4 linked regions of the Notamacropus eugenii genome follow. The protein of the gene in region 4 binds, or shares a complex with, the protein of the main gene of each other region. Links are inferred from orthologs where the notes say so. Each region holds a gene or a part of one and is shown on either strand. Other genes may lie near its edges. The genes, in order: PLCB3, CASR, CCKBR and guanine nucleotide-binding protein G(q) subunit alpha.

Region 1 (7,766 bases), on a different chromosome or scaffold from region 4:
TGCTTCATTTCAATTGGGCCTCCTGAGCAGGCTGAGCCTCCAGCTCAGGGCCTCCAGGAGGGAGGCCCAGGCCAGGTGATGGATGCTGCACTCTGGTTTTCTCTCTGGTTATAAATTCATCATTTGACCCTCTGGTTCCCAGGAAGGCTCTTCCAGACCTGGGAAGAGTCCAGTTGATGTTCTAAGCCGACCTTGACCTCCTCAATCTGCCAGAACCGAGGACTAGACCCTGGACTTGGAACTAATCCTACCTGAGTGTTGTCTGGGCAGGTCATGCCCAGTCTGGGTGGGTGCTTGTTCTGCTGCCATCAAAGGGGCAGTGTGGGAGAGGAGCAAGAACAGTGACTTTGGGGGCTAAGCACCTAGATTTTCATCTTGACTCTGACTAGCTGCCTGACCTGGGCCAAGTCACTTCAATTCTCGGCTTCAGTTTCTTCATCTGTGAAATGGTTTTGGACTCAGGGTTCCACTTTCACTCCAAAAAAGCCACAAACATTTCTTAAGCATGCAAGGCCCTGTGCTAAGCACTGGGGGTTCAACTCCCCCCACCCAAGCCTCTGCTCTTGAGAAGATTCTGGTGGAGATAGAACAGGTAAACAAAAAGCAAGTCCATCATTGTGCCAAAGGGCGCTACCCCCGGCCCAGTGCAGACCCTGGTTCTTGGAAGGCAGCAAGAATCCCTCGTTTTTCCTCTTTCAGTTATTCCTCTCCTTCATACTCCATCCTAGTTAATGTTCCAAGACAGTGTGACTGAACCTTCCCACCCCTCCTCTGGTTTCATGCTTTCCACTTCTACCCATGCTCCAAGCCCTAGAAATCCTCTTCTTTGGGCTCATCCATGGGGACAGGCCTTGGGGCCACCCCAGTATCCTGATTCTACTTCTCTCCCCAACTCCCAATTCTTTCCTTTTATCTGTATCTGGTCCCAGGCATCTTCCCATTCTGGACCATTCCAGGAACCAGGCAAATGGATTCAAAGTTTCTTGGTACTTCCCCAAGAGAGCCAGGTTTCCCACATCCTGATTTACTCAGCTCCAGTCTCCCCCCATTTCCCCCATCCTCATATTATCTTGCTAATGTGGCTGAATGCTTAGCTGCCAGAGGCTCTAGGGAGACTTGGGTGGGGTTCTTGAGGCTGGAAGGCACCAGGCCTCTCTCTTCCATCATTACCAGGATGCCCATCACCATTACCGGGGTTTTGACAAAGTGTCCAGAGAAGAAAAAGCCCTGTAATGGTAATCCCCCTGGGACCCATTTCACTAGAGAATTAACACTAACTCTTCAACTATCTGCTAAGGGCACCATTTTCTCAGGGACTCCAGAAAATTCCTCCCTTCCCCTCCCTAGCCTCCCTGAACCTTAATGAGATTTAGAGATGGAAAGGTTTTAAAGATGGTCATTTTGCAAACTAGGAAACTGAGACTTAGAGCAGCAGAGAGATTTACCCCAGGTCACCCAAGTATCTCCTAAAGTCACGGACTTAGAGCCTGAAGGACTCATAAAGACTGTCGAGGTCAATGCTCTCAGTTTACAGGCTGAGGAAACTGAGGCTCTTAAGTAACTTGACCTGGATTACATAGGTGGTGAGTGGCAGAGGCAGAGTTTTCACCTGTCTCCCTTGACTCTACTAATTGAACCTGCTGCTTCTGCCCAGGGCAGCTTCTCACTGGGTCTAAATCCTGGTTCCTTCCCAGACCCTCTGGACTGGGCTTAGAACCCTGAGCTAGCATTCCTGGAACCTAGAATCTCATCTCTCCTCCCTTTCTCCTTTCCCCTTCCTTCTCCTCTCTCTCTCTCTGTGTCTCTGGCTCCTCTCCCCCTCCCCCTCCCCCCATCCCCACCCCATCTTCATCTCTCTGGCGTGGTTCCAGTCTTTAGCCTTACCTGGTCTTCTACTACTAACTGAATTGTGTCTGGTCATTCCAGAGGCCTAATCCACCCCAAGCTGTGGGACTGAGGGAGCCATGGAGGTAGGCTGGATGTGTTGGGGAGGAATCTCTCCCTTAGAAGGACTAGGTTCAAGCCCTGCTCCTGGCTGTGGGACCCCCAACCTTCTCCCAGCAGCTTGTATGGGATGATCTCTAAGACATCTCCCAGTTCTAACCTGGAGCCTGTGTCCAAGTCCCTCCTGTACCCCCAGGAGAATGTAAGCTCCCCCAGGTCAGGACATTTCCTTTCAGTCTTTGGACTGATGCCAGTACAGACTGAAGTGGCTTGGGAGCTGTCTCTCTCCATCCTGCCTTAGCATCTGATTTCCCCGGGAGTCCTGGCCTCAGAGTCCATAAGATCTGAGTGGGCTTTCTAGGCCCAGCTCTATCACTAACCTTGGCAGCTTTGTCCAGATGCCTTCTCCTCACCAAGCTGGGCATCATCAAGGTGTCCCAAGAAGGCCAGACTCGACCCGGAAGAACTGCTTCAGGTCCTGGCTCTGGCACAGGCTTGGCCTCTCTAGCCTCAGTTTCTTTTTCTGCTCAATGGGCATGGCCGCACCTGCCACAGAGGGCTGCTGTCAGCAGGGGAGGACAGGAGGAATGAGAATTCTTCTATCCCTAGTTTCCTTCTCCGGAAAGATGAGTCAGTTCATGGAGATGCCTTCAGAGGTCCCTCCATCTGGGAAGGCTCTGATGTGTAGGTGCCAAACAGGGATGCTTAACAGCAGGCAATTTAGCAAAGAAAATTGGAAGCAATTGGACTTGAGGTCCAGGAACCCTGTGGTTAGCTGTGTCCGGGAACCGCCCCAACAGCACCTCCCCTGCAGGGAGGAAAGGAAGGAGCCAGGCCCTGTGGGAGGGTGCAGAGCATCCTCTCCCAGACAGGGGCCTCCCCTGGGAGTCCCAAGGCACTCTCACTTCCTGGGGGATCCTAGGGCTTTCTGCCGAGCCAATAGGTCAGCCATTTATGACCTCAGGAGTGTCCTGAGGTCGCACAGAAGCAGGCCTGGTAAACAGGCAGCTTAGGGCTAGTGACTTGTCCAGGGTCATACAGTCAGAATACTTCAGAGGCAGCACCTGAAACCAGGTCTTTCTTGAGATGCCGCTAGGTGGCACCATAGTGCATAGAGCTCCCAGTCTGGAGTCAGGAAGACCTGAATTCAAATTGGACCTCAGACAAGTTTGTGTGACCCTGGGCAAGTCATTGTTGGCCTCAGTTTCCTCATCTGTAAAATGGGGATAATCATCCCATAATACTTCTCTCAAAGGGTTGTGCTTGGGAAAAGGCTTTGCAAACCTTAAGGGACTGCAGACATGGGAGGAATAGTTGTTATTGTTTTTACAGAAAAGGAGAGGCCAAAAACTTGGCCTAAGGTCTTGAAGTAGTGGGGTGAGGGGGCCTAGTACAACACTCTCCCCTCCCCCCCAGCATGGAACTTTTTGCAGGCAGGAGCCCTCCTGTTGCTTCTGCAGCTGGAGACCTTGCCACCCTCCCCCTCTCCCCAACTCCCTGTCTTTCTGGGTTTCTAGGTCCAGCCTTAGGTAAAATTGTGGCCTGCACAGAATTTGTGTTCAGCCCCTCTAGAGCTGTCCCGTTGGCAGCCCCAGCTCTGGCTCGGGGGCGGGGGCCCACAGGCAGATGCGCTCCGAGCAGGGGCGCTATCGTCCTGCCCATCTAACCCCCTCCCTGCCCCCAACCCTTTATTTTTCTGCTGGAGGGCTTTTTTCCCTCCTAGGTCATTAGCTCCTGGAGGGCAGGGGTGGTGTCTAGCCCTAGATCTGAAGCTCCTGGGCTAGACCTTTTAGGTGGCTTCCAGAATCTTCGGGTGGGGGCTGCCACAGACACACCCACCCACACCCAAGTTTAAGACTCCATTGTTTCTCTGGGTCCCCAGAGTTTTCGGACCCCCTCCCCTGTGGGTGCAGGGCCTCAGGGCTAGACCATTTGGGGGTGGTGTCCCCTTCCCCACAGGACGACTATGGATGGGGCAGAAACACTAGGGTTAGCTTGGGGAGGAAGCCTGAGGTTGGATGGGTCTGGCGTCCCTGGTGTAGAGTGCTGGGCCATGCGATCTGAAGACTGGTTCCAAAAGTTCTTTCAGTTTCTTGCGGTGTGACTTGCAGCAAGTGACCTCCTTCTCTGGTTCACAACCCAGTGATTTACAAATTTAGCAAGAAAAGCAGAGGGAACAGAGGGCCAGTTGTTACAGCCTCACACTATCTGGGCTCTCGGGGTAGCACTGAGGCTTGGGGACCAGGAGCTCCCGGGGCCTCTGAGGTTCTGTGGGGAGAAAGGGCCATGAGGCAGCTGAGTGCTTCCGATCATGGAAAGGGGGGGGCTGGAGATGAGGGCTGGGGGGGATGGCTGGCTGAGGGAGGGGAGGGACAGAGGGGTGGGAATGGATGACTGGGGAAGAGAGGAGGAGGGAGGATAGATGGCTGGGGGAGGGAAGAAAAGGGGTAGGGGGATGGCTGGATGGGAGAAGGGAGGGATAGAGGGTAGGGGGCTGGCTGGAGGAGGGAAGAAAAAGCTGGGGGATGGCTGGGGGGAAGGGGAAGGATAGAGGGTAGGGGGCTGGCTGGGGGAGGGAAGAGGAGGAGGCGAAGGGAGGTAGGGGTGGGGGCAGGAGCGAGCCGGCGGAGAGCCCAGCCGGGACCCCAGAAGCCTGGAACCGATCCCTGCACTGCGGACCGGGCCGTCCGAGTCTGGCCGCCAGGGGGCGAGGACTCCTGCCCCAGCCGCATTCCAGCCCTGGACTCCTGGGTTCTGGGAAGGCAGCGGAGCCGGAGGGGAGGGGCCTGATCAGGCCCCGCCCCACCTCGGCCCCGCCCCGCCCTGCCCGGGCCGCCCCGAGAGAAAGTCCAGGACTGCGCTGCCTCCTTCTCCTCCTCCCTCCTCCTCCTCTGCTGCCCCCGCCGCGGCGCTCAGGCTCGGGGAGCCGGACCCGGACCGGGACCGTCGGGGTTCGAGCCCCCAGCCCGGTGCGGCTCGCCCTCCGCCCTGGCCCCCGGCCCCTGCCCCCTGGGGAGCCATGGCCGGCGCCCGGCCCGGGGTCCACGCGCTGCAGCTGGAGCCTCCGGCCGTGCCCGAGACCTTGCGACGGGGCAGCAAGTTCATCAAGTGGGACGAGGTGAGCGCAGGGCGGGGGGGGCGGGCCTCTTCACCCTGAACCCCCTCCGGGGGCCCCCAGCCGGGCCTCTGCACCCCGATCCCCCGCCCGGGGCCCCCCGCTGCCTCGTCTTCCCAGGGCCTCGTTGTGCCTTCCTCCCACGTCGCCTTTCCCTCCCCCCAGTCCCTGGAGCTAGGGGGGACCGTCCCGCGCTGCTGTCCAGACAGTCCCCATAGTCCCCCCTTTCCTACCCCCCAGAAACTGAGGAGGGAGGTCTGGCTTCTTTCCCCCCAAAACTTGTGCCGGGGCAGTCTAACAGGGACTTTGCTCCTCCCATTCGCTGGAGAAGAGACTTTGAACCCCAATAAATCTCCTCAGCCTCTTTGGGCCCCCCCCGGCCGCAGCCACTGTCTGGGCGCCGTCGAACCCCCCTCCCAACCCCCGTTCCAAACACTAGGGCTCGAGGCTCCCGGGGCTCTGCCCCGCGCGAGTCCCCCGTCTCCCGGCGCCCCGCTAGCTTGTACCTTGCTCTTTCGCCTTCCTCCTTTGCCTTCTCCCCATTCCACCCTTTTCTCCACAGCCTTTGCACCTCCTTTCCTGCGGGACCCTCCCCCTTCCCCCTGCCCGCTCCCACCCGCCAGCTTCCTTCCCGGGTCGCAAAGCACCCCAACCTTGCCCCAGTTCCAGGCCCTCGGGTTCCCTCCCTAGCCAAGCTGGGCCGGAGGCCTGGCAGAATTCCCTTTTCCTTTCCGGCTGGGTGGGGCTGGGGGAGCTTGCTACAGCTTTGGGGTGGCCAGGAGAGCAGAGGGAGGGGGCCTGGGGGTGTGGCCAGAGGTAACAGGTGTGGTGGGGCCCTCCGCCGGGAGAGCAATCAGGTGCTGCGGAGGGGGTCGGGAGAGGGTGCTCTGGGTCTGGGGGAGCCCCCTCCCCCCATGGGAGGCCTTGGGCAGGAAAGTTAGAAAAAGTTTCTCCTTTTCCTTCTGGTGTGATAAACCCAAATAAGGAAGTGGAAACCAAGGAGTGAGCCTGGGGGGGAGGGGGGGCTGCCTTGGAAACTGGGGAATCTGAAAGGGGGGGCTGAGGGACCAAGCAGGAACGCGGAGAGTCGATGAGGTCTGGGGCAATGGATGCGTGATACGGCCACCCCCATCCGAAGGGACCCCTTGTTCTATAAACACAACCGTGCTAAGGCCGACTTCTAGGACTGGAGGGCAAAGCGGAGGATTTCAGGGACCCGGAGAACAGAAAGCACCTGGGGGAGAAAGGTTACCTTTTCACACACACCGCCCCCCCTCCCCCCCCCAGTCCTTGGGATTGGCCCCTGCTGTGCAAGCTGCTCCCTATGGGGTCAGAGGTCGCTGTCACCGTGGACTGGGGGCTGAGCGGGCTGCCTCTCGGTCTTGGACATCGCCTGCTGGCCTGGCACTTGGCAGGCTGGCCCTTCTCCCCCTCCTCCTGCTCCTTTCCCTTTGCTCCACCCTAGGGGTCTGTACCGTTTACTCGGACCTCCGTGGTTGAGTAAATCTGCCCAGCAGCAAGGGTGGGGTGGGGCAGAGGATGGGGGAGGGGGAATGAGGGATGGAGCCCTGGGGGGCCGGGGTTTGAAGCTGGGAGTACTTGGCTCCCATCCCCTCGGGGACCTCTTGTTCTGCTGAGCCCCACAGCTAGTCTGGGGATTCAAATTCAAACTTGTGGTTCCCCCCTAGGCTGCCCTGGTGTATCAGAGTCTCACTGGGCAGGGCCCTGGGACTGGGACTCTTAACAGCCCAGAACTGCTGTTAGAGTCAGAGGCTGACCCTCCAGCCTAATTCTGTCTGGGACAGATCTTTGCAGAAGGTTTGGTAGGAAAGGTGTGTGGGGGGAGGGGAGGAAGGAATGGAAGAACTCTAGACTTGTGGGTCAGGAAGACCTGGAAATCCTGGCTGAAATGATTGCTAGCTTGGTAACCCTGGTCAAGTCAACTCTACTTCCAACGAGCCCCAGTTTCCCCATCTGTAAAATGGGTCCAGCATTAGCATCTGCCCCACAGCATTGTTATGAAGATGACTTTAGACTCCAACTGGCTGTGTGACTCTGGGCAAGACCCTTAATCTCTGTAAACTGGGCCTGCTGCCACTGTCCACCTTGCTCCAGAGCTGTAGTGAGTTCAGTCATCTCAGTCACATCTGACCCTTGGTGACCTCATTTGGGGTTTTCTGGTCAAAGATCCTGGAATGGTTTGCCATTTCCTTCTCCAGCTCATTTTACAGGTCAGGAAACTGAGGCAAGCAGGGTGAAGTGACTTGCCCAAGGTCACACAGTTAGTTGTCTGAGGTTGGATTTGAACGAATGATGATGTATGTGTTCCTGACTCCAGACCTGGAGCTCTCTCCATCCCAGAGAAGTCTTTGCAGTAGGACTGTGATCCCCAAAGGTCTTCGCCAGGTCCTGTCTGGTCACCAGACTGTCCCCCTTGGCCTGTCCCCTTACTGCCTTCTTTCCTTACTGTCCAGGAGGCTTCTAGTCGGAACTTGGTCACACTCCGAGTGGACCCCAATGGCTTCTTTCTCTACTGGACTGGACCCAACATGGTATGCATGTGTTTCTGAGGCCCAGCTGCTCTGGCCCCTCCTCCATACTGCAGCCCCCTGATCCTTGCCCCCTACCCCAAATTCCTGAAGCCCTTAGGGCAGGGGCCTCCTAAGCTGGCTGACCCTTCCCACGGCCTGGCTGGACAGGAAATAAC
Region 2 (7,471 bases), on a different chromosome or scaffold from region 4:
TATGTGCTAGGCACGTTGCTAAGTGCTATTTACAAATATTATCCCATTTGGTCCTTACAACAACTTTGGGAAGTAGGTGCTATTATTATCCCCATTTTATAGTTAAGAAAACAGAAGCAAAAATTAAGTAACTTGGCCAAAGTTCCAGAGTTATTAAGTAATATTCATATGGTGTTTAAAAGTTTACAAAGTTCTTAGTGTAGTATCCCATTGAAGTCTCACAGAAGTTATGAGGAAACTGAGGCTCAGAAAAGTTGAGAGAGAGTGAGAAAGAGAGACAGAGTGAGAGACAGAGAGAGACAGAAAGAGAGACAGAGAAGCAAATAGATGTAGACTATAAATGTACACACGCCTATTAGTCTTTGGTAGGATTCTGAAGAATGACTTCATTTCTACAGAAAAGTGAACAGTAAAAAAAAATAGTTTTTGCCCAAATATTATAGAATAGCACCCATGCTATTCTGGTTTCAAGAAAACAGGAGAACTTTCTAAATCAGATCTCTTGTTTCAACTCCTCATTAATCTCCCACTTTGCCATCCACCCCAACAATTCCTCCCTTTCAATTTTTTCTCTCCTCAGCTAAGTAACACCTTGGGCTTATCCCAACCTAGGACAATAAATATTTCTTCCTTTTCTGCAAATTCAGTCAGTGAAGTCACTTAGTACAAGAACAAGTATGTACTTAAGACAGTTAGCCCTTGGAATAGCTCCCTGCCATTCAGAAAGATCACTCAGACCACTTTCTTTCTTCTTCTACTACTGCTCTCCCAGTTCATGAAACATTCTACGTTTTTCAGAAGCCCTATTCATTCCCACAGAATGCAGAAGGTTTCGTAGAAGAATCACATTCTAACAGATCCAAAATCTCAGTCTGGAAAAATAACCCCCTTTTTTATTGTCTTCCTTTATGTCAATCTAACTTAGAAACAAAGGCAAATGAAAAACAAAAAAGCATAAAAATGAGTAATGGTATAAACACAGGATTTATGGGACAACTTTTAAAAAAAATTTGGCCAGATCCATGATTTTATCTTTATGGGGAAATTCCTGTGTGAAAATTCCAGTGCAAATGTGTAACTCATCTGCAGATTTGTCCTCGGAAGACATGGGTCTGAACTGGTTCTGCCATTTACTAGCTATGTGACCTTAGACAAGTTACTTCCTTCCTCATGGCTTCAATTTCCTCACCTACAAAACCTAGAAATAAGATCAGGAGTTCTTAGATTTCAGAGGATCTGTGAGCTTGGATGAGAAAAATTACGCCCTTATTTTCATTAACCTTTAACTGAAATTTAGAATTTCCTTCAATCATGAATTTAAAAAAAATTATTCTGAGAAAGAATGCATAAGCTTCGCTAGCCTGCCAAGGGGTTAATTACAGAGAGAGAGACACAGAGAGAGAGAGAGACAGAGAGAGAGACAGAGAGAGAGAGATAGACAGACAGAGAGAGAGAGAGAGAGAGAGAGAGAGAGAGAGAGAGAGAGAGAGAGAGAGAGATTAAAAACCTTTTAGTTCTAAAATTCTATGACTGAGGAAAACTCATGTTTGGCCAAGTATTGTACAGCTGAAGTAGTTCAGAGACTTAGATTTAGAGCTAGAAAAGACCCCAGGGACAATTGGGTCAAACTCTTATATTTATAGATGAAGACCCAGAAAGATTGGATAATTTAATAACTGTCTGAAGCAGGATTTTAATTCAGATTTCCATGATTCTAAGTACACGTCGTGAAGCCTCTCAATTCCCACGCTCTGAAAGAGTAACAATATACTTTTTGAATCATATGGCAACCTTTCTTGGGGCTTGAAATTTCAATATTCCTTAAGACAGGTCAGGGACCACCTGCATGGGTGTGAAATCTGGCCCAGGAGCCCCACCAGTGCAGGGCCCAAGGAAAGAAGAGAGACTTTCTCTTCCTCTCTGGTGAAAGCCAGTTTATTTTGCAAATAGCCAAAAGAAAAAGAGCCCAGGAAAGCAAGAAGCTGCTTTTGCAATGGAAATCTACTTAATTTTTTAAAATTAAAGGGAAGAGAGGGAACTGGATAGAGACCTGGCATTCTAGTCAGAAAATCTAGGTTCCAGTTCTGCTGCTGACGCATCTTGGCCGTGTAAGCCAGATAAGTCCCTTATTTTCTTAGTGCCCTGGGCCAGACTTTTAACTAGAAGAGAAGGTGACAGACAACTTGATTTCTTAAATAGAATTCCCACATCTAGGAGATCCCTCTATCCAGTGAAAGCGCAGGTTCAGTCCCTGTCCTAGTCTAGCAATGGGGTCCCTTTCTGACATTTTTTTTTTGCGAGTTTGTCCAAAGGAACATAACTTCATAGCTCAGTTTCTTCATCTATAAAATAAAGCCTTAGTTCAGTGACAGTTAATAGATCAGCCCCGACAGTCCCCAGGAAAACCCCTAGTTGTACTTGGTGTCAGTTGTCTTAAGCGATCCCCGTTTGCTTTTATAAACTCGTTCTTGTTTTTTTCATGACTCCCTATAACCGTAAAACAAAACCCTTTACGCCCCTTCTTCCCCACCTCCCCCACCTTCCATCCCACCACCCTCTTCTCGCATCTTGATCAATATTCCTGCCCCTCCATTCACTCACCAGGCGCCCCGCTCCAGGGTTCCACTGCACCCACAGGTGGCCGAAGGTAGCGGGTTCCTTTGGTTTTTCCTGGCCGGGCGGATCCGAGAATGCGGGTTGGACGGCAGGTTTCTAGTACTAGGAAGGATTGACCGCAAATCCCCCTAGGCAGGGCGCGGGGATGCTCCTCCAGCACTGCTCACCTGGCTTCCTACACCTTCAAGTTCACTGCCTCTTGGGAAAGGTGCCGGCTCAGTCCTGCCTCCCATTCCATCTTATCCGTCCCTCCGGGTTGGCAAACAGCATCTCTTGCCGAAGCCTAAAAGTATTCCTCTCTCTCCCAAGCAGCGGGAGAGACAGGGAGAACGAGGCCAGAGAAAGCCAATCCCCAAGCAGGCTCGCCACCCTCACTCGGGCTCCTCTTCCCCAGCTCGTTGCAAAGCTCCGCCCCGCCTCCTTTCCTGTTCAGTGCGCGCTCTCACTCCAATGTGTTTCCTTCCCTCAGGCTTTCCCCTAAGTTCCCTTACTTTCCAGAGTCTCATTCTCCAAGAATCTACTGTCCTGATCCTTTGACTGCTTCCCCAGGTCGTCTCTCTGCCTTATCCAATATCTTGTCTGCCTGTCTCCTCGAACTTAGTTGGGTCCAGACCACACCTCCCTCACCTGTGTGATTCTTTCAGACACCAAGCAGTCTTGAACCCTCAACCAGTGCCAGCGCCTCCCTTATAGGGATAAGGATTTCCTTATCCTTTCTGTGGCCTGGGATTGGGCGCACGTTCTCATCCGAGAAACTCAGAGTGATTGCTTGCTTTGTGACCCCAGTTTCTGCCTGCTTCTCTAGGGTCCCCTGCTGCTTGCCGGCTTGCTGCTGGCTGAGCTGGCGGTCTCCAGCAATTCCAGCTGAGTTTAGCCGAGATGTGGTACCCAAGGGAGTCCATCCTCTCTCTGGCATGCTGCATCTTGTGAAAGTGTCTCTGCCTTGGGGAAGGACTCAGTTTTGAGTATCAGCAAAAAGGGAAGAGGGACTGGAACCCTGGCCTTGGAACTAGTGACTTTAGGCCACGAGTGGGGAAATATTTTCTTGTGAAGGACGTCAACGCAAAGTTTTCTAGGACTATTGCAGGAGGGGATCAGGGGAAATTGGGAGAAATAATCGAACTTGGTGTAGTTGAAAGAGCACTGCACCTGAAGGTAAGGAGACCTACCTTGGATTCGGAGTTCTGATATTTTGCTAGCTAAGTAACCACCTGTGAACAACAGCACGACTCGATTTCTATTCCCTAACGGGCTGCCAGGTTTCGTAGTGGACAGGGTGCCGGACCTCGAATCAGGCAGACCCATCCTGAATTCAAGTCCAGTCTCAGACACTCAACTAGCTGTGTAAACCTGGGCAAGTCACTTAACCCTCTTTACCTCGGTTTCCTCATCTGTAAAATGAGCTGGAGAAGAAACTGGTAAACCACTCCAGTATCTTTGCCAAGAAAACCCCAAATGGAGTCAAGAAGAGTTGGACACTACTGAACAACAACAATATATAGGATGGAAAAATAATACTTGCCCTATCTACACAGTGGATATTGTGAGCAACATCATTGTAAACTTTAAAATGCTATATGAATATGAATTATATAAGCAAATATACAACTTTACTTGCAGCAGTCAGAAGTAGTTCTATAACTCTTTCTATTTAAAACCATAAGTGCATGAATAATTCTTAAAACCTCCCCTTTTTAACTCAATACCTCCTAGGGGTCCTTACGCTACTAAGGCAGATTTTTAGAGAGTTTCCTACACCATGTAGGAAAAGAATAATGTGAAATGGTGGAAAGAGTAATGAACTGAGGGTGTCTGGAGATCTGGTTTCCCACGACTGATTAAGTGATGAGTAAGAAGGACATATCTAAACTATCTATTCAAGTGCAGGTCAGTTGAAATGGAGCTTACAAACTCCAGAATGACAAGAGAAATGAAATGGCTAGTGGTAATACCCACTTAAATGGATTCTGGGGAATTACTCGAGTCCATAACAACAGAGAACAACAAAAAGTCACTTCAGGGACACAAAGGTGGATTTCATGTCATGCTGAAGGGAAACAGATAAAACAGCTGGCAGTCAAGTATAACTAAAACGGTCACCAGATAAGGAATGGCTCTTGCTGAAAAGAGAGGCAGCTTGACTTTATCAAGACCTTATTTCCTTTTTGGACAGGGCTGCCAAACTGGTTGATCAGGGGAATGCTAAAGAGTTTATCTAGATTGCAGCAAAACATTTGATGACCTAGTGTTCTTTGTGGAAAAGATGGAGAAATGTAGAGTAAATAACAATCAATTCACTGGGTGTAGAATCAATTGAATTTTTTCCCTAACAATTAGATCTGTCCAAAAATGGAATGGGGACACCTGGGAAGAAGTGGATTCCTCCTCAGTGGAGGTCTTCAAAAAGGTGGATGAGCACTTGATGAGTATGCCTTTGGAGGTGATTTCTTTTCTGTTGTGGGTTAAAATGATTGCTGCTTAAATCTCTTCCAACTTTAAAATGCTGTCATTCTGTGAGCAAAGTAGATTGGGAATGGGAATGGAGAAGGAGAGAGAGAGAGCGAGAGAGAGAGAGAGAGAGAGAAGGATGGAGGGAGGGAAGAAGAAGAAGAAGAAGAGGAGGAGGAGGAGGAGGAGGAGGAGGAAGAAAGAAGAAGAAGAAGAAGAAGAAGAAGAAGAAGAAGAAGAAGAAGAAGAAGAAGAAGAAGAAAAGAGGGAAGTTGAAGAGAGGAGAGGAGAGAGGGAGAAAGAGAGAGGAAGAGACATAGAGAGAGAATACTTTGAAGTCAATAGAGAAGAAGAAAAGAAAGTATCTTAAGAAATTAATGAAAGGAAGATCAAAGAGAGCAGGGATGAAAGAACCAGTGCTGATAGAACCCAAGTCCCAGAAAAAACATAAACTCAAGTGGAGAAAATAGAAGATTCTGAAATACGGTATTTTCAAAGGTGTGAAAGGAGAAAAAAGGGAGAGAATTCAAAGGAAGTCTTAAAGGACTACATAAAATCACATAAACATGGTAGAGGGCAAATGTCGCCATTTCAAGATGTATTTCATGGGAAAACTGAGAAAACATAAACTAGATTCCTTTTTGGATGACCCAAAGCTGACTATGAAGTGGAAAGTTGATTGTGCCTGTAGTACATGAGTTTAAGATTCTTCAAAATGGTCAATAGGAGAGGGAAATCATTCCTAGTAGGAATGTATGCTTAGTGTGAATATTTGAAAATATGTCGGATTTTGTTAGAAGAATAGGTACTCAAGGGTCAGAACTGGAAGGGGAAATTCAGATGTTTGTGTGTGTGAATTCTCCTCAAAAGACCTAGGAAAAGAAAAAATAATCTTAAGTGATTTTTAAATGAATGTGGCACCTTTTTTTCATGGAATAAGAAGGATGGTGTTAGCTTTCTTTTAAAAATTATTTTTAAATAAGTTTTTTTTCCCCTTCTACCTCACAGTCTTTTGTGCATTTACCTTCCCCTATCATCTGAATACTCTTTTGAACCAAAACAGCTTAGCTAAAACCATCTATACTGTGACTGAATCTGTCTATCTACACACACAGACACACATGTTCATACACACATGCGCACACGTGCACACAAATGCAATATCCTGTCAATGTCATCCTCCATTTATTATATTTCACCAAGTTGTGATCAGCAATGGTTAATACAGTTAGTCACTCATAATTCAGTTTCCTTTTTAGTGACATTTTCATTTGCATTACTATAGTCATGGTGTTCTGGTTCTGATGAAGTCACGCTACATTGGTTCGTGTATGTTTCTCTGAATCCTGCTAAAATCGAGCAGCTAGGTAGCACAATGGATAGTGCTCTGGGCTTGGAGCCAGGAAGACCTGTGTTCAAATCCACTGTCAGACATTTGCTAACAGGGTGACCCAGTGCAAGTCACCTTTTCGCTTCAATTTCCGTTTGCTTCGCTGTTTATTTCACTTTCCTTTGTTTGCTTCACTTTCATCATCTGTAAAGTGAGGATAAGGTAAAGAGCATCTGCCTCCCAGGGGTGCAGTGAGGATCAAATGAGATAGTAATTTTTAAGTGCTTAGCACTGTGCCTGGAACGTTGTAGATGCTGTATAAGTGTCAGCCACTATTCCGCTTGTTTATTATACTGTAGTTTGCTTGGCCCTTCCTCAATTGACAGAGAAGATGAATAACTGCTTTATTTCAATTCTTTGCTACCATAAAAGTGCTTCTATGAATTATTGTTCTCTTTGATCTTTTGCTCTTGTTGTTGATGTTTTTACATTTTTGTTATTTGAACCTCAAATGAGCTCTCACTAAAGCACTATGATTGTTTTACTCATCCCTAAATAATAATCTGTCCTTTTCCCCACAGAGACTATTCCAAACCTCTTCTGTCTTCAAGCCACTCCCATCTTATCATCTGAGGACCTTGCTTTATACTTTACTGAGAAAACAGAAACCATTTCTTATGAACTCTACTTCTCTCTCTTCTCAAAAGCATAGGAATTCTTAACCTGGGGTCCATGAACTTGTTTTCTAAAAATATAATTAAAATTGTATTTTTATATAATTGGTTTCTGTTGTAATTCTATGCATTTTATTTTATGCATCTAAAAACATTATTTTGAAAAGGGGCTCATGGGCTTCACCAGACTGCCTAAAGGATCCATGACACAAACAAGGATAAGAACCTCAGAGCTGGAAGAGACCTCAAAGGCCATCTAGTCCAACCATCTTATTTTATATATGAGGAAAATAAAGCCCAAAAAGGTTAAGTAATTTACCCAAAGTCACACAGGTAGCAAATGACAGAAAGGCAGGGTCTGAACCCAGGTCTCCCAACCCTAAAGCCAAAGTTCTCTCCACTC
Region 3 (7,571 bases), on a different chromosome or scaffold from region 4:
GGGGCTACTAAGAGGTGAAGTGACTTACTGGCCTCCTGATCACACAGCTAGTCTTTGTCAGAAGCAGGACTTTAAACTGGGTTTTTCTGGATCCAAGGCTGACCATTAGCCCATACTAGTACTATCACTGGAAATACCTTTAAGGTTGGCAAAATGCTGTAATACAGTCTCATTTAACCTGCATGACAACCCTCTGAGGAGGGCACTCTAGACTTTTATCCCCCTCATTTTAGGTTAGTTATTGATTCAGAGCTAGAAGGGACCTTTGAGGGCATCTAGTTCAACTCCTTATCATGTAGATGAGGAAATTGAGGCCTAAAGTAGCTAAATCTCTTGACAAAGATCATATATTAGATGGTGTCAGAGGAAGGATTCAGGTCTCCTCTAAACTCCAAATCCACCATATTGTACTGGTTAGGGGACATGCCAAGGGAACAAGGGGAATTCCTCTGGGGATCTTTGACCAAAGTGATTCTTGGACCAAAAAAAATATTGAAAGCTTCTAGTATGCCTCTATCCATCTCTGTATCTTTCCTCTATCTTCATCTGTCTAAGTAACTAATATATTATTTTTATTTATATCACATGACATATGTAGCACTTTATGATTTTCAGTTGTTTTTGGTTTTTTATTTACCATTCATTCAAACATCCATTCAGTGAGAGATATAGCTGCCCTGGGAAAGTTATATGTTCTGGATAGAGAGATAAGAAAATAACAAGCAAGGACAAATTAATTGCTCAATTTCCATAAGCCCCGAAGGATTCCCAGATGAAGGGTATGAATGAAGGGGAGTCGAATTGGGAAGGCACCTTGGAAAAGGTGACTCAGGTCTTCCAGGAAATGAAGGATGGTGATTGAAGTGAAGGTGAAAGGCACCAGGGGTAGCAAAGAGGCCAGGAGCCTGTGGAAGGTAGAAGGGGGTTCTGAAGGGGAGGGGCAGAGAGGCCAAGAACACAAGGAGGATCAGCTGGTGGCAAAAACTATACAGAGGTGGATGAAGGGGTGTGGCAGGGATGCCACAAGGTTGTGTGGGGAGATGGAGAGAATGGTAGTGACATGGGAGGCCAAGAAGCCAGGGGAGATGAGGAAGAAGGGATTTTGAATGAGATATTTGAGGGAACTAAGCTCAGAGTAACAGGAGTGTATGTGAGAGGAATGAGCAGTCTTGGAATGGGGATGGGGTGAGCGACAGACATGCTTTTGTAGAGACAGGCTGCTGGGGGAAGGGAAAGAACAGGACATGGGACAGGGAGTGGGGTCAGTTTCCAGCAAGAGAAATGTTTTGAGGAAAACCCTGGGGAGAAAGGTCCCAGTTTCCAGGGGGAGGGGGTCCGAAAGATTTGGAGTTCAGTGAACAGGGGTATCCACTCCTCTCAGCCTCTAGTGCCTCCTCAGCTCTGGCAGCTTCTTAGCTTCAACAACAGATTTAGTGTGTGTGTGTGTGTGTGTGTGTGTGTGTGTGTGTGTGTGTGTGTGTGTGTGTGTGTGTGTGTGTGTGTGTGTGTGTGTGTGTGTGCGCGCTCCATTTGGACCCTACACGCAGAAAGCTTCTAAGTCTTTGCAGATCACGAATTCTCCTTACGGGGTTAGCCCCCTGATCAACAGCGCAACTCCCCTTTAGGCTCACAAATACTCCTCTAGTGCTCTCTGACAGTCTTGCCATCCTACCCCTGCTCCTCCCCTCACCCCACCTCCATGATCTTGGGCTTTGCATTCTGGAGCTTGTGGTAGGGTCCCTGGGGCATCAGGGGTAAGGGACATGCAGAGAAAGCTGGAGAAAGGAGAGGTGGGAAATGGGGGTTGGGGCCCAGAGGGAAAGGGTCCTAGATGAAGGGGACACGGGAATGGGAGAGAGATGGGGCCAAGAGGCATCAAAGAAGGGGAACACTTACCTCGGGGCGTCCTGCTGGCTCCAGAGCCTCCTCGGGGAGATCCGCAGCTACTATTGGCACCGCTGTTAGCACTGCTGTTGGGGGACAGGGGCCCCGGGCCGCACTGGGACTCTGGCTCTGGCACGCTCCGATTCAGCTCCAGCTCCATGGCCCCAGGGTAGAGGCGGGCCTGGGACAAGACCCTCGGAAGACCGGGAACCTAGGGGGCCGTTTCCCACCGCTTCCACCTGCTCTCGCGTCTGTCGCTTCTGTGCCCCTGACCTGGCCGGCTCTGGTGTGTGTCCGCTCCGCCCTCTGCCTCCGGCCGGCACCTTGCGCTCCCACGCGGATTTCTCCCCCTCTCTCCTTGCGTCTCTCCGTCCCTCCCTTTGCGTGTGCCTCTCCTCCCGTCTCTCTACCCCTGGGTCTCTCCTTGACTCCCCGCAAATCTTTTCCCTTGGCTTTCTCCCAGTGTCATTCGATGCCCTGTGTCTTTCTGCCTCAGCTCCCCCAAACCCCTAAAATCTTCCTCCCCCTTTCCAGGGGACTCCCAGCCTCGTTCCCTCCGCAGCGGGATCTGCTGGTGCTGGGGCTGGGGTGGCCTGGGGAGCCCCGCCCCTCTCCTCCAGAGCTAAGCAGAGCTGGGGTCCCGCCCCCCTCTCTGCAGCGCGGCCGCTCGGCCTGGGGGTGGGCGTAGGGGGATGGAGGTGCTCTATACTGCTGCTCCAGCCCCAGTTTCTGGAGGGAGTCAGGCGCGGGGCTGAGGCTGCCACTGCTGATGGGGGACGGGGGGAGGCAAGGAAGGGTGGTAGGAGACAAGATCTGACGTTTTAATTGTACTGTACTTCAGCTATGCTACCGTATTGACCTATGGGGCACCAAAATGTAGAGTGGGACACCAATGAGTCGTGTTTCATTTGGGGGCAAGTGTGAGGTGCGGACTGGGAGCAGGGAAGGCTCACAGCCATTCACTTAGAATCCTGTGTCCCAGCACACCCCTCTTATAACTCCTGGCTGTCCCCAGTAGTACCCCTAGAGACACAATGACATCCCAAGTCCCAATAATAGCTTTGCTCCAAAGACATCTGACTCAATAACAGCCACTAATGAAATCTCAGTGACAACCTATTCAGTGACACCTCTGGACTCAGTGATACCTTGGCCCCAACGTCATAACCAGTCACACTTCTGGTCCTAGTAATATTAGAGCCACAGTAACACCCCCAATGACAGACCAGGGCGCAATGACACCAACTCAAATAGTCCTTTACAGTAACTCAAATACTCTTCATCAGCGGATAGACTTCAGGGAGCTGAGATGTAGTAAGGACTCTGACCTTAGGAAGGACTCCAATGAGTGGAAATTTCCCAGGGGCAGAGTACCAGTAAAAGAGGAGTCCCTAGCTCCCTTTGGCACCTGGTAGTGCCAGTGCTGCCACCACCACCTCTCCCCTCCCTCTGTTTGCTCTTGGGAGCAGGTGGAGATGTAGATAACCAGCCTGGGCTTCCCACGGGGAGGAGGGTAGGGCAGAGGATGGGAGGACAAAGATGAAGCCAAAGTGGGTTGGGGGTGAAGGTGATGGGTGAAGTGAGGAGAGGATGGTGACCCCCAGCATTCATCTCACCTCCTCTAGTATCACAGGACCCATCCTGGGCTTGTTCAGTCTCCTTAAAGGTAAGAATGGGTAAGCTGTCTTGAAAAAGAGGCACCAGATCCTAAGGACTGAGAAGACAGGGGATGCATTGATGAGAAAAATAGGAGGGGGTGCCAAAGGGATGGAGATGCTTGCCAGGTCCTTGGCCTCCAGCCCTATCTGTGAGGGCATCTCCCCCTCCCCAACCCTCTCCTTAGTCTCTTCATCATCTCCTTGGCTCCAGGGATACTGTGTCCTTCCTCCACCCCTCCACCCCCATCTTTCAGGGAAAAAAGCCCATTAGTGTCCCTTCCCTCATGATTGATAGCCCCCAAAGACTGAGGATTGATGGGACTGAAGGGATGGGCAGGGTAGAAGGGAAGAAGGGCAGGGATGGGAGGATGGGAGCAGTTTAAGAATTCCAATTCAGAAGGAAAGTTGTGACCCAGGTAAGTTGCAGCAGGGAAGGGCAGGAAGTGAAGAGAGCTGAGATGCAGCTGGGAGGACACCTACTCTGTGGGAAGGATGCCCACCTTACTTCCAGACTTTGTCCTAGGCTTAGTCCAGTGTCTCCTGGCACTGCTACCTCACCCAGCTCTGCTGACTCTCAGATCCTAGGGCCTGTAGCCCTATTTGCTCTAGCTAAGGAGTCCCAGGTGGAAATACTGATAACCAGCAGATATTTTCCCATTGAGAAGGGGGAAGGGTGAATGACATTGAAGGAAGACAAATTAAGGAACCTGGGAGTATGGGACAGAGTTTAAGGGCCTAGGCAGGAACAGAAATGAAGGAGACTAGGGTGGGTGTGGGGGGCGAATGAGAGATGGGGATGGGGGCATGAAGATTGAGAAGAGACAGAGAGAAAACAAGAGTTAGAGATTTAGAATTTAGGGAACAGAAATGATGGAACCCTTAAATCATAGCACAGCATGAGGTTCAATCCAATTTGGCTCACCAATTTGTTGTGAGCTCAATGCAAAATAGAATGCCCTGGGCACTAGAGGGTCAATAGCTAACACAACAATCTCTCCTCTTAAGGAGCTTGTATTTTAAGAGAGAGAGATCTACACAGATAGGTAAATATAATGTAATATGAGGAATGATAGAGTCAGGTCAAGGAATACTTCACTGAGAAAGAGGCACATAACCTGATACTTGAAAAAAAAAGATAAGTTATCTTAAAGACAGAGGGAGATGAGAGCCCATTCTGGATGTCAGGTACAGCTTGCAATAATGTACACCTAAAAACTGGGTATATGGGGTGTTTAAGGAGAATTAGCACCTCTAGTGTGAGGGCTTGCCGAGTCCTTTTCAGGGCTATTCATCCACCTTTGGTGTCCATCTGGCACTCAACTCTCACCTGTGGCTCCAAGAAGCTACAGTATGTGCAGTGGCCACACCCTAGTAAAACTGTCTCAGTAGAGACTCTAAACCAGGTTTTGAGGTTAACCAACAGGCCTCAGACCTATCGATGAGTTAGGGGGTGTCTACCTCACATATGTGAATACTTTTCTTGGTGGAATGGGCAATTTGTTTCAACGACCATGAAGGTGGCTGAAGCAGGTGCTGTGGGGAGCTTAGAGCTTGGTCAGACATGGAAGGTGCCAAGGTCATCCATTGCATCCTGGGCCATCACCAGCGGTCTTGACTTTTGTCTTGCCACTGGATTCCTTTGACTTGTAAGACAGAGTAGAGCTGACGACTTTGTATAACTCTAACTCACTTAAATCTAATTTTTGCACAAGTCAAGACATCACCTCGTGATGTCATTGATCCTCTTCAAAAATGAAGGACAAACAACAACACACATAGATGATGGAATTAAGAGTACCTACAGGCAACCTTTGCTTCTATGTGGGTTACTCCAGACAAGATACTTCAAGTTAAAGGACTCTCTCTAAATTCACACAAAAACCATAGTTATTGAGCCCCCTAATAATGTATTTACTTTTACTAGTCAGCCAGAGGAAATGTTTAGTTCAAAGCAAAGCTATTTAATGAAATAGCATAGGAAGATAAGTAGTAATAGAACATTTCCCCCATAAACCTAGAGCATACAAAAATATGTATTCAAGGTGGGAAGAGTGGACATTCCTAGGACACTTGTGTGGACAGGGCACATTTATGGAAAGGCTTCTGATGTGTCAATATTGCCAATGTCTTCTGGTGATATCATTAACCCGCTTCCATTGGATCTGCTTTCCAAAATGTCTTGTATGTCTCTCTCTGTTCAGTGGTACTCCATTGGGTATGTGGTTACTGCTAGGTACTGTTGTACTACTTCTTTCCCTTAAGAGGGAAAGTAGATTCTATCTCTTTTAGCTTATAGCCCAGATAATTAAACTTCCATTTAAGTGAGGGCATCAAGGTCTTTCATATACCTAATATAGATTAGAAAAAAAAACAAACTCTTGGATGCCTCTTCTCCAAAAGGATCCATCGAATCTTGAAGTCTGACTTGTACATAGCTTTTTTCTACACAAACATGGTCCTTCTTTCTAAAGTCCAAGCTCTTTTGGAACACAGAACAGCTAGACAGCTAAGTAACACCTACAGGTACTTGAAAATTCTGCATCTGGAGCTGAATTACAGTTCATTGGCCCAGCAAACTATTTGATTTAGGGTTAGAAATTCTTTGTAATCTCCTGCTCAACTCCTTTGGGAGATACTGTGCTTTCAAATGACATTTTTTTTCATGGGAAAACCTTGCCAAGAAATTTCACAAGAGTGAGATAGGTCTCAGGTACTATAATTTCCCCAACCATGCAAGATCCTTTAGGTTTCCCATTCAAATGAAAGGGGGAAGGAAGGGGAAATGACAAGAACAAAAACCCTAGATAGAGCAGTATTGTGAAGAGGAATTGCCCTTTGCTTCAACCTATCGTGTGTGTGTATGTGTATTCAGAAACAAACTTCTTAGTCTTTGAGCCTTCCCATAGAATATTGAATTTGAGGAACAGATAGCAATCTATTTGTGGGAAAAGATCAAGCTTTTATTAGTTGCCTATTAAGTACCAGGCACTGTGCTCAGTATTTTACAAATATCTCATTTGGCTGGAAGATAGAACTATTAAGGAGAGTAAAATTAAATATGGCCAGAAAGGAGGCAAGTAATATGAAATATAGCTGGAAAGGTAGGTTGGAACAAGATTTGGCCTCCCTGAGTCCCAACTTCTGTGGGTTAGAATCATAACATGTCCTGCTGCGGGCCCCTCATGAGATCATTGGATCATTCACGTGCCCCTACAGCTTCTCTCATTATCTTTGTGATCCCTAGGACAGATAGACTATGTCAAATGACCCTCTCAGGCTTTGACTAGAGTCATTAATACACCTAATAGGTTTGAATGCACATATGAAGCCCTGATACTGCAACCCCTAAGATAGGAAGGAGGAAATAATCAATCATTAAGTGCCTCCTATATGCCAGGCACTGTATTTAGCATTTTACAAATATCTCATTTGATCCTTCAATAACCCTGGAAGGAAGGCACTATTAATATCCTCACTTTACAATTAAGGAAATTGAAGTTAAGTGATTTGCCCAAGGTCACATAGCTAGTAAGTATTTGAGGAAGGACATGAACTCAGGCCTTTCTGACTCTAAGCCCAGTGTGCCATCTACTGCCCTACCCAATAGCCTCTTAGCCATACCCCAGATAGGAAATGGACCTATGATTTCCTTGATATAGGATACTCGAAGGGGAAGAGGAGAGGAAGAACTCCCTCTATAAATTCAGGTTGGCATTTTCTCTGCAGTTTATAGTCTTAGACTGTAGACTCTTGGCCCTCGAGAACTGAGATGTTAAATGACTTGCCTAGGATCAGGTTCTGTCAGGTCATGCCAGGTCATGTCAGAGGCAAAACTCAAACCCAGATCACCCTGACTTCAAGGATGTCTCTCTATCCACTCTGCCTGTTGCCTCTCAGACCTAAGACTACAGAGACGAAAATGGAACTAAAAGTCTTCCTGCAACAGCTAATAAGGTGATGTTAAGTTCCTCAGGGACCCTAGAGTTGATAACAAGTAGGAGGAACTGTGAACCTGAGCTCATACAGTAT
Region 4 (7,847 bases):
GAGCTTAGAGCTTAAGATGGAAAATGAAGAGTTACCTAGACAATTCTGAAAGTTCAGAACCCTCTATAAAGAAACACTGTGGGAAGTTCACTGCTTTAACCTCCAGCCCTCCAGTCAGAGGGAGGACGCAAATGAGGAAGTGAAGACGGTGGTGAATCTCAAAAACCTGAGTCATCTGCATGCTGATGAAGTGATCAGATTATCCAGGGGATAGAGGATAGGGATGGGGTGCCATTGGGTTTGGGAAGAGAGGAAAAAGCTTGCAACAGTAGCTGTGGCGAATGAGACAGGGAGTCAATAATGGAGAGCAGAAGGAATATTGAGTAGCAGTAAAGGTTTAACTGAGGTTATGAACCATACATTTGTAGTGGATGGAATCAGCTCAGTTTTATCACTTTCTCCAGCAATGCTCAGCAGCTTAGACGAAGTGGAAAAATCACATGACAGGAATTATCCAGAGACGAGAATTTGCAGGTCCAGAATGAGGGAAGGTTTGGAGGCAAAAGATTCTAGGGTAAGTGGTAACTTGTGAATCATTAAAGTGGCAGGTAAGGGGGCATGAAGGAAAGTAAAGACAGAGTGGGAAAGATGGAAAACAGGGTCAAGTGACCAAGGGTCATAACAAGGGTGAAGAGCTGATTTTGTGAATTGAAGGAGTGGGAGAGATACAAAGAGAGGTTAAAAGTTTCAAATCTTGGAGGTAGTAATAATAATTCTGAGAGATGGTGAGTGTATGCCTAAAGGAGGATGAAGAAGAAAACTATTGTAGTTGGGGAGGCTGAGTCATTATTTGGTCTTGTTGTCAGAGCAGTCTTTTCCTTAAACATTGAAGTATGTGAGGGTAATGGCAAAGGGGTGGGGTGGAGAGGAATACTATGAACATAATGCTTGTCACTGAGGAAAGTTGGAAGAATACACTGAAGGATCCATTCTTCACAGATGTTAGACATTTATCAACATATAAAAGTAAATCCTTTTAATACTTGAAAGAGGAAATACTTAATATTTAATTAATACTTAAATTAAATACTTACTTAATACTTAAAAGAGGAAAGGTCAGGGAGAGAAGATTGGTAGATAGATATGTAGAAGTTCAAGTGAAAAGGATCACGGGCACTGTTCCTACCAGTTCTAAGAGTTTGGAGAATGGAGAGGTTTAGAGGGATGTGCTGTCCTTAGGAGAGAGTCGATTTTAAGTTAAAATGAAGAGATAGAAAAATGTTGGTTGTCAAATTCAAGGATATACTGCAATTTATTGAATTTTGAGTGTGGTGTAGTGAGATTAGTTCTGAAGATGGTAGGTAGACAAGTGAGGTAATATAATTGAAAAAGCTTTGGAAACTCTAAATCACTATGCAAATTTAAAGTATCATTATTAGGCTCAGACCTGGAATTTTCCTTCCCCATGGAGAACTATTATTCTCTTTCTCCCTCTCCCCACCCCCCAGTTCAGTTTTGTTCCCTTTTATCTTGTTTTAATACTGAAGTGCCATTTTCCTCCATCTTAATACTTGTAACACACAAAGGCAGTCTTCATCTTGACTTCAAATACTTGTATAAGGCCCTGTCTACCCAGTCCTGAAACAATCATTCAATTTGCTTAATTCAGTCAAGTAATGGGTTAGATCAGTCAAAGTGGATAGTTTCATGCACTGGAGACTTTGTAATAAGTTTCCAATGGTCCCTGCTCCCTTAGATCACCAGTCATTGGTTTTTGTGGGTTCTTGATCCTCATTTGATTTCCTGGTCTTTTGGAATACACACACATGTACGTATGTACGTATGTATGTATGTATATACATACATATATACACACACATCCAGACACATACATATGAAACATAAATATATACAAGAACCATATATATGAAAGAAAAATCATAATTAAATTTTCTTCCCTGCAGTCATTCTAAAATTCTGCAATATTGAATTTGAATATTTAATCGCATTAGTCACTTAATTTTAAATTTTAATTTCTTATCATGTGTAGCAGTCATTTATTAGGGCTTTAGCAGTGCGGGAGGAGATATTTGCCTTCCTCATTGTCAGGCAAGATGGATTTTTATAGATCCCTTTTGTCTATGACTTAAAAAAGGCAGTAGGGAACAAGTGGAGCATGGGGCTGGTAGATCCGAGAATCTGAGAACTTGTCTGATTTTCTTCCTGACTTGTCATATATGGGGAGTGAGCAGGTTCCAGCCCCTAAAAACATTGAGATGATGTTTGTCACCTTGTAGAACCCTTTGTACAATTCTGCACCTGTGGGAGATTCCAGTGGTAGTATGGCAGTGAAATCTCTTGACATCCCAGGATGAACACATTAAAACAGAGAAATCTTCATGAAATAAAGCTTCAGTGAAAAAGGAAGATCCCAGGACACATATTACCCTTAAAACATCAGATTCCAGTAAGCAAGGAAGGAGTAGTTTCACTTCTTGAGCTGCTGGATCATCCAAAACTCGAAATTCACAGGAAGTCCTACCCTGTTATCAGTAGAGTATCAGGACAAAGTAGCCAAGCAACATCAAAACAGTGTCAATCAAAACTAGAGAAACAAGAAATGGGAAGAAATTTTGCTGGAATGAACGTTTATTCTGCTGTTTATTTTTTGTTTCATTGTTTACATTATTCAGTCACACATAATTTTGCATACTTAAAGAGCTAAGCTGTCATTAATTCTTTGTTTTTCGGGGAGAGGGAAAGAAGAGAGAGAGAGAGAGAGAGAGAGAGAGAGAGAGAGAGAGAGAGAGAGAGAGAGAGAGACAGAGACAGAGAGACAGAGAGAGACAGAGAGAGAGAGAGACAGAGAGATTGAGAGAGACAGAGAGAGAGACAGAGAGAGAGACAGAGAGAGAAAGAGACAGAGAGAGAGAGAGACAGAGACAGAGACAGAGAGAGACAGAGAGAGAGAGAGACAGAGACAGAGACAGAGAGACAGAGAGAGAGAGAGAGAGAGACAGAGAGATTGAGAGAGACAGAGAGAGAGACAGAGAGAGAGACAGAGAGAGAGAGACAGAGAGAGACAGAGACAGAGAGAGAGAGAGAGAGAGAGACAGAGACAGAGACAGAGAGAGACAGAGACAGAGAGAGAGAGAGAGAGAGAGAGAGAGAGAGAGAGAGAGAGAGAGAGAGAGAGAGAGAGAGACGAGGGGAGGGGGGAGACAGAAAAACAGACAGAGACACAGAGAGTGAGACAGAGAGACAGATAGAGAGAGAGACGGAGAGAGACAGAGAGAGATTTCCTAACATGTTCAAACGGCTGGCATGATTTCCAAACCAGAGGGGAAGCTGGTAAAAAAAAACACCAAAAACAATGAATCTCAGGGGCATGAAAAGTTACAAACGTTGCCTGTGAAACTCTCGGAAACTTCAGCAGTTTCATTTCTCGGCTCAGGATTTCATTTCAATCAGAAGTAACTTTGTGGAAGATTCCCCTCCCACCCTGCCGGTGGGGAATGAATTACAAATTTGGCCCCCCTTCAGCCCCACCCCACGATTCCAGTCGAAGTTTTCCAAGGATGGCCTAAAGGTGGAGGTGGTGTGAGGTGGTTTGTAATTCAATGGCATTTTTGAAACTAGGATCTTTTTTTTAAAAAGTATTTTTTGTAACGCTGCCCTCCAGGACAAAAACGCCCCTGTTCCTCGCGGCCATCGGGGGAGCGCCGCGCCGGTGGCAGACTGGCGGGGTTGCTGGGAGTGGTGTTTGCTTTGCAAGCCTGTCCACTGGGTTTGGAGGCTGGAATTCGTGGGATTTCCAGGAGTGTGTGGAACTAGCTGTATCTGTGTCTGGTGGGCAGAGAACCGAGAGCGAAAGCCGCCATATTTCTGCCTTACCACGCCCGGGAGGCTAAGCCCTGGCAAAGGCAGGTTCGCGGCCGCAGCTGCCGGTGCTGGATTCACACAGCCCACCGAGGGCGGGCGGCAGCGGGCGCGGCGGCAGGCGGTGGCCTCGGCAGCCCGAGCCTCAGCCTCCGGCCCTCCTGCCGGCTCCTCCCCCTCCTCTCAGCCGGGGCCAGCGGGCACAGCCCCGACAACCGGCAGAGGAGGCAGCAGGATCAGCACACGGAGAACCCCACGGGGAAGGGGTCGGGGAGGTGACGAGAAGTGGAAGAATCCCCGGCACAGAGACCCGGGAGGAGGCGAGCGACACCACCTCCTCCAGCCTCCAGTTTCACTACCATCCCCACCGCCGGCACCTCCTTCTCCTTCTCCTCCTCCTCCTCCTCCTCCTCTCCCCCGCGGGCGCCGCTGCTGCCGCTTCCCTCCCGGATCTGGGCTCCAGTTGAGAGAAGAAAATGTGTGTGTGTGGCGAGGGGGAGGGAGAAAGCTGATCAGCCACTCACCAGGGCCGGGGGGTGGGCATCTGGCGGAGAGCAGAGGAGGAGGGGGAGGGGAGGGGGAGGAGGGAGGGGAGGAGGGCCAGGAGGAAGAAGGGGGGTGTGTGTGGAAGTGTGTGAGTGTGTTTGCGCGCGAGCCCGGGGTGGGTGGGAAAGGGATCCCGGCGGGTGTCATCTCGGATCCAGGGGGGCGCAGGGGGAGTGGTGTCAGGCGGGGCAGGGGAGAAGGGTGCGCTCGGTGTCTGTGCCATCGCGGCTGCTGCTGCTGCTGCCCCTGCTGCCGCTGCTCCTGCTGCTGCTGCTGCTGCTTCTGCCGCCGCCGCCGCAGCCGCGAAGCTGCTCTGGTGGATGTTTCTGTGTGGCTCGGTGCATGATTTAGAAGAGGAGGAGGAGTTGGATCTAGCTAGTGACAGAGGCAGGAGGCAGAGGGGGTGGGGGGTGGGGGGAGGTGGTGGTGTTCTGTGAGAGAGGCCGGGGGAGCGGGCCTTTCCCCCTCTCTCCTCCTCGCACCTCCCGAACCTCCCTTCCACCCGCTGGTGCGTTCGGGCCCCGCCGCCGGGATCGGGCTTCGCCGGGCGTGCGGTGGGCGGCTTCGGGAGTCTCCCACCTTCCCCTCCCCTTCCCACCCTGCCTTACCCCGGACCCCCCTCCCACCCCCAGTCCCTCTTCCCACCCCCAGCCCAGGGGTTAGCTGCCGCCGCGGCCCGCGGCGGGGAGTGAGGAAGGAGCGCGCGCGCGCGTGTGTTTTCTGGGGGTACTGGGGGGTTGTGTCTGAAGCAGTTAGGAAGAATGACTCTGGAGTCCATCATGGCGTGCTGCCTGAGCGAAGAAGCCAAAGAAGCCCGGCGGATTAACGATGAGATCGAGAGGCAGCTCCGCCGGGACAAGCGGGACGCACGCCGGGAGCTGAAGCTGCTGCTGTTGGGTAAGTGGGAGAGCCGCCTCCCCTCGCTCCCCGCCGACTTCCCTTCCTTTGCCCCAGCCACCGCGGCTCCCTCCGCCTGCCCTCTCCTCCGCCTGCTTCCACCCTCGGGGCAGCTGCCCTCCGCACCCCCAGCCGCTGATGTGCTCCCCCAGCACCCCTCCCCCAGCACCCGACACATACACACATACACACAGCACACCACCACGCGCGCGCACACACACACGCACACATACACACACGCACACACACACACACGCACACGCACATACACGCACGCGCGCACGGTGCCCTTATGGAGTGGATCTTTCTGTATGCCTGCCCTACGCCCCCCAAGTCCCCCTTCCCCCGTCTTCACAGCTATCGTGGTGTATGTGCCCGGGTATATGCACACCCAAGGGCTATGCATAGTGTATGCGTGTGTATCAGATGTGGACACAGTGCAAATGAAAGTCGTATCATGGCAAGAGGGGGCAGGGCATGTGGATTTGGGGGTGAGGGAGGGGGAGTGAGAAATAGGGATTCAACTCCCAGTATCTTTGCCTGAGCTCTGTGGGAGCGTGCTATTTCCGTTAGGATAATTGGAGTCGGGAAATTGTGTTCGCGCACATATATCGCATCTACCGTGGATCATGTTCTATGTAGATCCCTATATATACATTTATGTACAAACATATTATCTATGTACAATAGATACTACAGGTCTGTGCTTCCCTGGGTGCTTGTATTAGGAATGCATTTTGGGGTGTAGGGAGGCTGAAACAGTGGGCTTCAGAAGGAGGTTCGATGTGGTGACATGGAGGAAGGGGATGGTGGTGGTGGCTCTCGGAAGCTAGGGCAAAGGAGGCTTAAAGTGAGATGTGAAAAAGAGGCGGCAAATGTTGTAAAAGAACTGAAATTCTTTTGCAACCTGGCGACTAGAGCAAGAGCGAGAGAAGATGAGAGCTTCTTGATGAAGGTTGGGGGGCAGGCTTCATTAGCTAGCTTCCCCGTCCTTCCAAAGGAAAGAGACTTGGGGTCCGAGGTGTTGGGGTTTGTGGTGGTGAGAGTGGTAGAGGTTGTTGATGTGATGGAAGCTTTTGGTTTCATGTGGCTTATCAGCCACATGAAGGACTCTCTTTAGAACAGGTCCTAACTGGAATCAAGAATCCAGTCCTCAGCTACTCTGTGGAGCAGAATAGTGACCTATTGTGTGTTGGAAAAATGACAGTGATTTAACACCTCTGGAACTGGCCCATTTGGGCCAGAAATAAAACGGGCAGAGTATAGGACAGTTTCCCATTCACCAGGGGGAAGAAGTGAACCTTCCAATTCTGCTCTGTTAAGGGGATTGCAAAAAAAATGTCCTTTCTCAGATAGGAATCTGTAGTGATGCTTTCTTTGGACAGTGTTTTAAGCATTTTAAAAATCAAGAGATTAGTTTTCACATGCAGTACAGTGTGACACAATTCTTAATTACTGTGACAGGAACAGTATAGGGCTTTGGAATAATAGGCCTGAAAAATGTCTGCCATAGTGTTATGGATACTTGTGTGTGTTGGAAATCCATTACATAAAATTTTGTGTTGGACAAAGATTACTGTTATTAAAGAGTCTAAGAAACACATATCATCTTATCTTGAACATTCCATCTTCTTTTGCAAAGAGCTATTCTGTTGTTGAAGCCCTATTGTTTATGTGCTGGATCAATTAAAGAGGAGGAACAAAATAGAATAGTGGCAGAAAGATACAAATGGTTAGTTATACATGTTGTAAAGAAGCAAGCAGAACACGTGATTCACTTTGGAACACGGTTAGACAGATTTGCACATGCTTAGTTTAAAGAGAATGGAAGGCAGAGGGACTGAAGGATAAAATGTGGGCTTTAAGGTAATAGAATGAGGGATGCAGAAACCAAGACTTCATGATAAAGACTGATTCAAATTGAGGGCTACTTTTTTAAGGGCTGAAATTGAACCAACTGGATAGATGAGATATTCTCTACAATGAGGAAATGTGTCTCTTGTAGAGCTGCCTCATTAGAAAGCATAAATGTGTCATTTTAAACTTTTTCATTTCAAAATGTATTTTTTCACCTGACCTGCATTGTGCCTTGAGTTGTGTCTGTTTATGGTTTGAACAGCAGGTTCCAGGGTTTCTAGCCCTTACTCTAGATAGTGCAACAAATGTTTCAGTGGCTGGACTTTTCAGGACTTTCTTGAGAAGAGCAGAGGGCAGACCGTGTAATGGCCTCAGAAACTTGTCCCAGAAGGAAGATTTTAGTTACTTGTAACTATGTATTCTATTTATTTAAATAGGCCTGCTTTGTTTTTAAATGAAAGTTAGTGGTGGTTTTCTAGGAGAGGGGAAGGGGAAGAAAACAATTCACATCTACTGTACTTCTCTGGACTAGAGGGTCTGGGGAACATCTGCTGTGACTCCCCCACCCCTCTTTTCCATCCATAAGTTGAATAAGCTTATTAGAATTCCCTTCCACCTAATTAAAATCTCCCCCTCCCAATTAGCAATAGTGGTGTAACCTGAAATTAAAGTTTAGTCTTTAAAATCATGAAGATTTAAAAGTTACATAGATCACTGTAACACGACCC

The links.
Region 1: the proteins of guanine nucleotide-binding protein G(q) subunit alpha (region 4) and PLCB3 are in contact, whole or in part, in a cryo-EM structure (PDB 8UQO), measured with the Homo sapiens proteins. The link is inferred for Notamacropus eugenii from reciprocal best matches to the Homo sapiens genes GNAQ and PLCB3. Residues at the interface, in NP_002063.2 of Homo sapiens: Pro185, Thr186, Thr187, Ile189, Glu191, Pro193, Arg202, Gln209, Arg210, Ser211, Glu212, Arg213, Arg214, Lys215, Trp216, Ile217, His218, Val240, Glu241, Glu245, Glu249, Glu250, Ala253, Leu254, Arg256, Thr257, Ile258, Thr260, Tyr261; in NP_000923.1 of Homo sapiens: Pro257, Arg258, Leu259, Asn260, Glu261, Val262, Leu263, Arg707, Asp709, Lys710, Ile719, Asp721, Gly722, Ile723, Val724, Ala725, Ser845, Asp846, Tyr847, Ile848, Pro849, His852, Tyr855, Ala856, Ala858, Leu859, Ile860, Asn861, Pro862, Ile863.
Region 2: the proteins of guanine nucleotide-binding protein G(q) subunit alpha (region 4) and CASR are in contact, whole or in part, in a cryo-EM structure (PDB 8SZG), measured with the Homo sapiens proteins. The link is inferred for Notamacropus eugenii from reciprocal best matches to the Homo sapiens genes GNAQ and CASR. Residues at the interface, in NP_002063.2 of Homo sapiens: His63, Leu196, Gln197, Ser198, Ile323, Tyr325, Ile337, Arg338, Phe339, Phe341, Ala342, Lys345, Asp346, Ile348, Leu349, Gln350, Leu351, Asn352, Leu353, Glu355, Tyr356, Leu358, Val359; in NP_000379.3 of Homo sapiens: Lys644, Ala645, Asn647, Arg701, Val702, Leu704, Val705, Phe706, Ala708, Lys709, Ile710, Pro711, Thr712, Phe714, Phe801, Arg873, Thr876, Ala877, His879, Ala880, Phe881, Val883, Ala884, Arg886, Ala887, Thr888, Leu889.
Region 3: the proteins of guanine nucleotide-binding protein G(q) subunit alpha (region 4) and CCKBR are in contact, whole or in part, in a cryo-EM structure (PDB 7F8W), measured with the Homo sapiens proteins. The link is inferred for Notamacropus eugenii from reciprocal best matches to the Homo sapiens genes GNAQ and CCKBR. Residues at the interface, in NP_002063.2 of Homo sapiens: Arg30, Arg34, Asp35, Arg37, Arg38, Leu40, Ser198, Val199, Phe341, Lys345, Asp346, Ile348, Leu349, Gln350, Asn352, Leu353, Lys354, Glu355, Tyr356, Asn357, Leu358, Val359; in NP_795344.1 of Homo sapiens: Thr87, Val88, Thr89, Asn90, Glu151, Arg152, Ala155, Ile156, Pro159, Leu160, Ala162, Arg163, Val164, Trp165, Gln166, Thr167, Ile241, Leu245, Gly248, Leu249, Val331, Leu335, His394, Arg396, Phe397.

What each region holds. Positions count from the first base shown.
Region 1 is NC_092873.1:17,094,009-17,101,774, forward strand, and holds the start of PLCB3 (1-phosphatidylinositol 4,5-bisphosphate phosphodiesterase beta-3), read left to right. Parts: upstream 1-4,753; 5' UTR 4,754-4,963; coding exon 4,964-5,062; intron 5,063-7,533; coding exon 7,534-7,611; intron 7,612-7,766. UniProt on the Homo sapiens protein: Catalyzes the production of the second messenger molecules diacylglycerol (DAG) and inositol 1,4,5-trisphosphate (IP3).
Region 2 is NC_092876.1:343,420,385-343,427,855, forward strand, and holds the start of CASR (extracellular calcium-sensing receptor), read right to left. Parts: upstream 3,170-7,471; 5' UTR 2,602-3,169; intron 1-2,601. UniProt on the Homo sapiens protein: G-protein-coupled receptor that senses changes in the extracellular concentration of calcium ions and plays a key role in maintaining calcium homeostasis.
Region 3 is NC_092876.1:89,304,658-89,312,228, forward strand, and holds the start of CCKBR (gastrin/cholecystokinin type B receptor), read right to left. Parts: upstream 3,183-7,571; 5' UTR 2,045-3,182; coding exon 1,897-2,044; intron 1-1,896. UniProt on the Homo sapiens protein: Receptor for gastrin and cholecystokinin. The CCK-B receptors occur throughout the central nervous system where they modulate anxiety, analgesia, arousal, and neuroleptic activity.
Region 4 is NC_092872.1:67,954,970-67,962,816, reverse strand, and holds the start of guanine nucleotide-binding protein G(q) subunit alpha, read left to right. Parts: upstream 1-4,837; 5' UTR 4,838-5,126; coding exon 5,127-5,262; intron 5,263-7,847.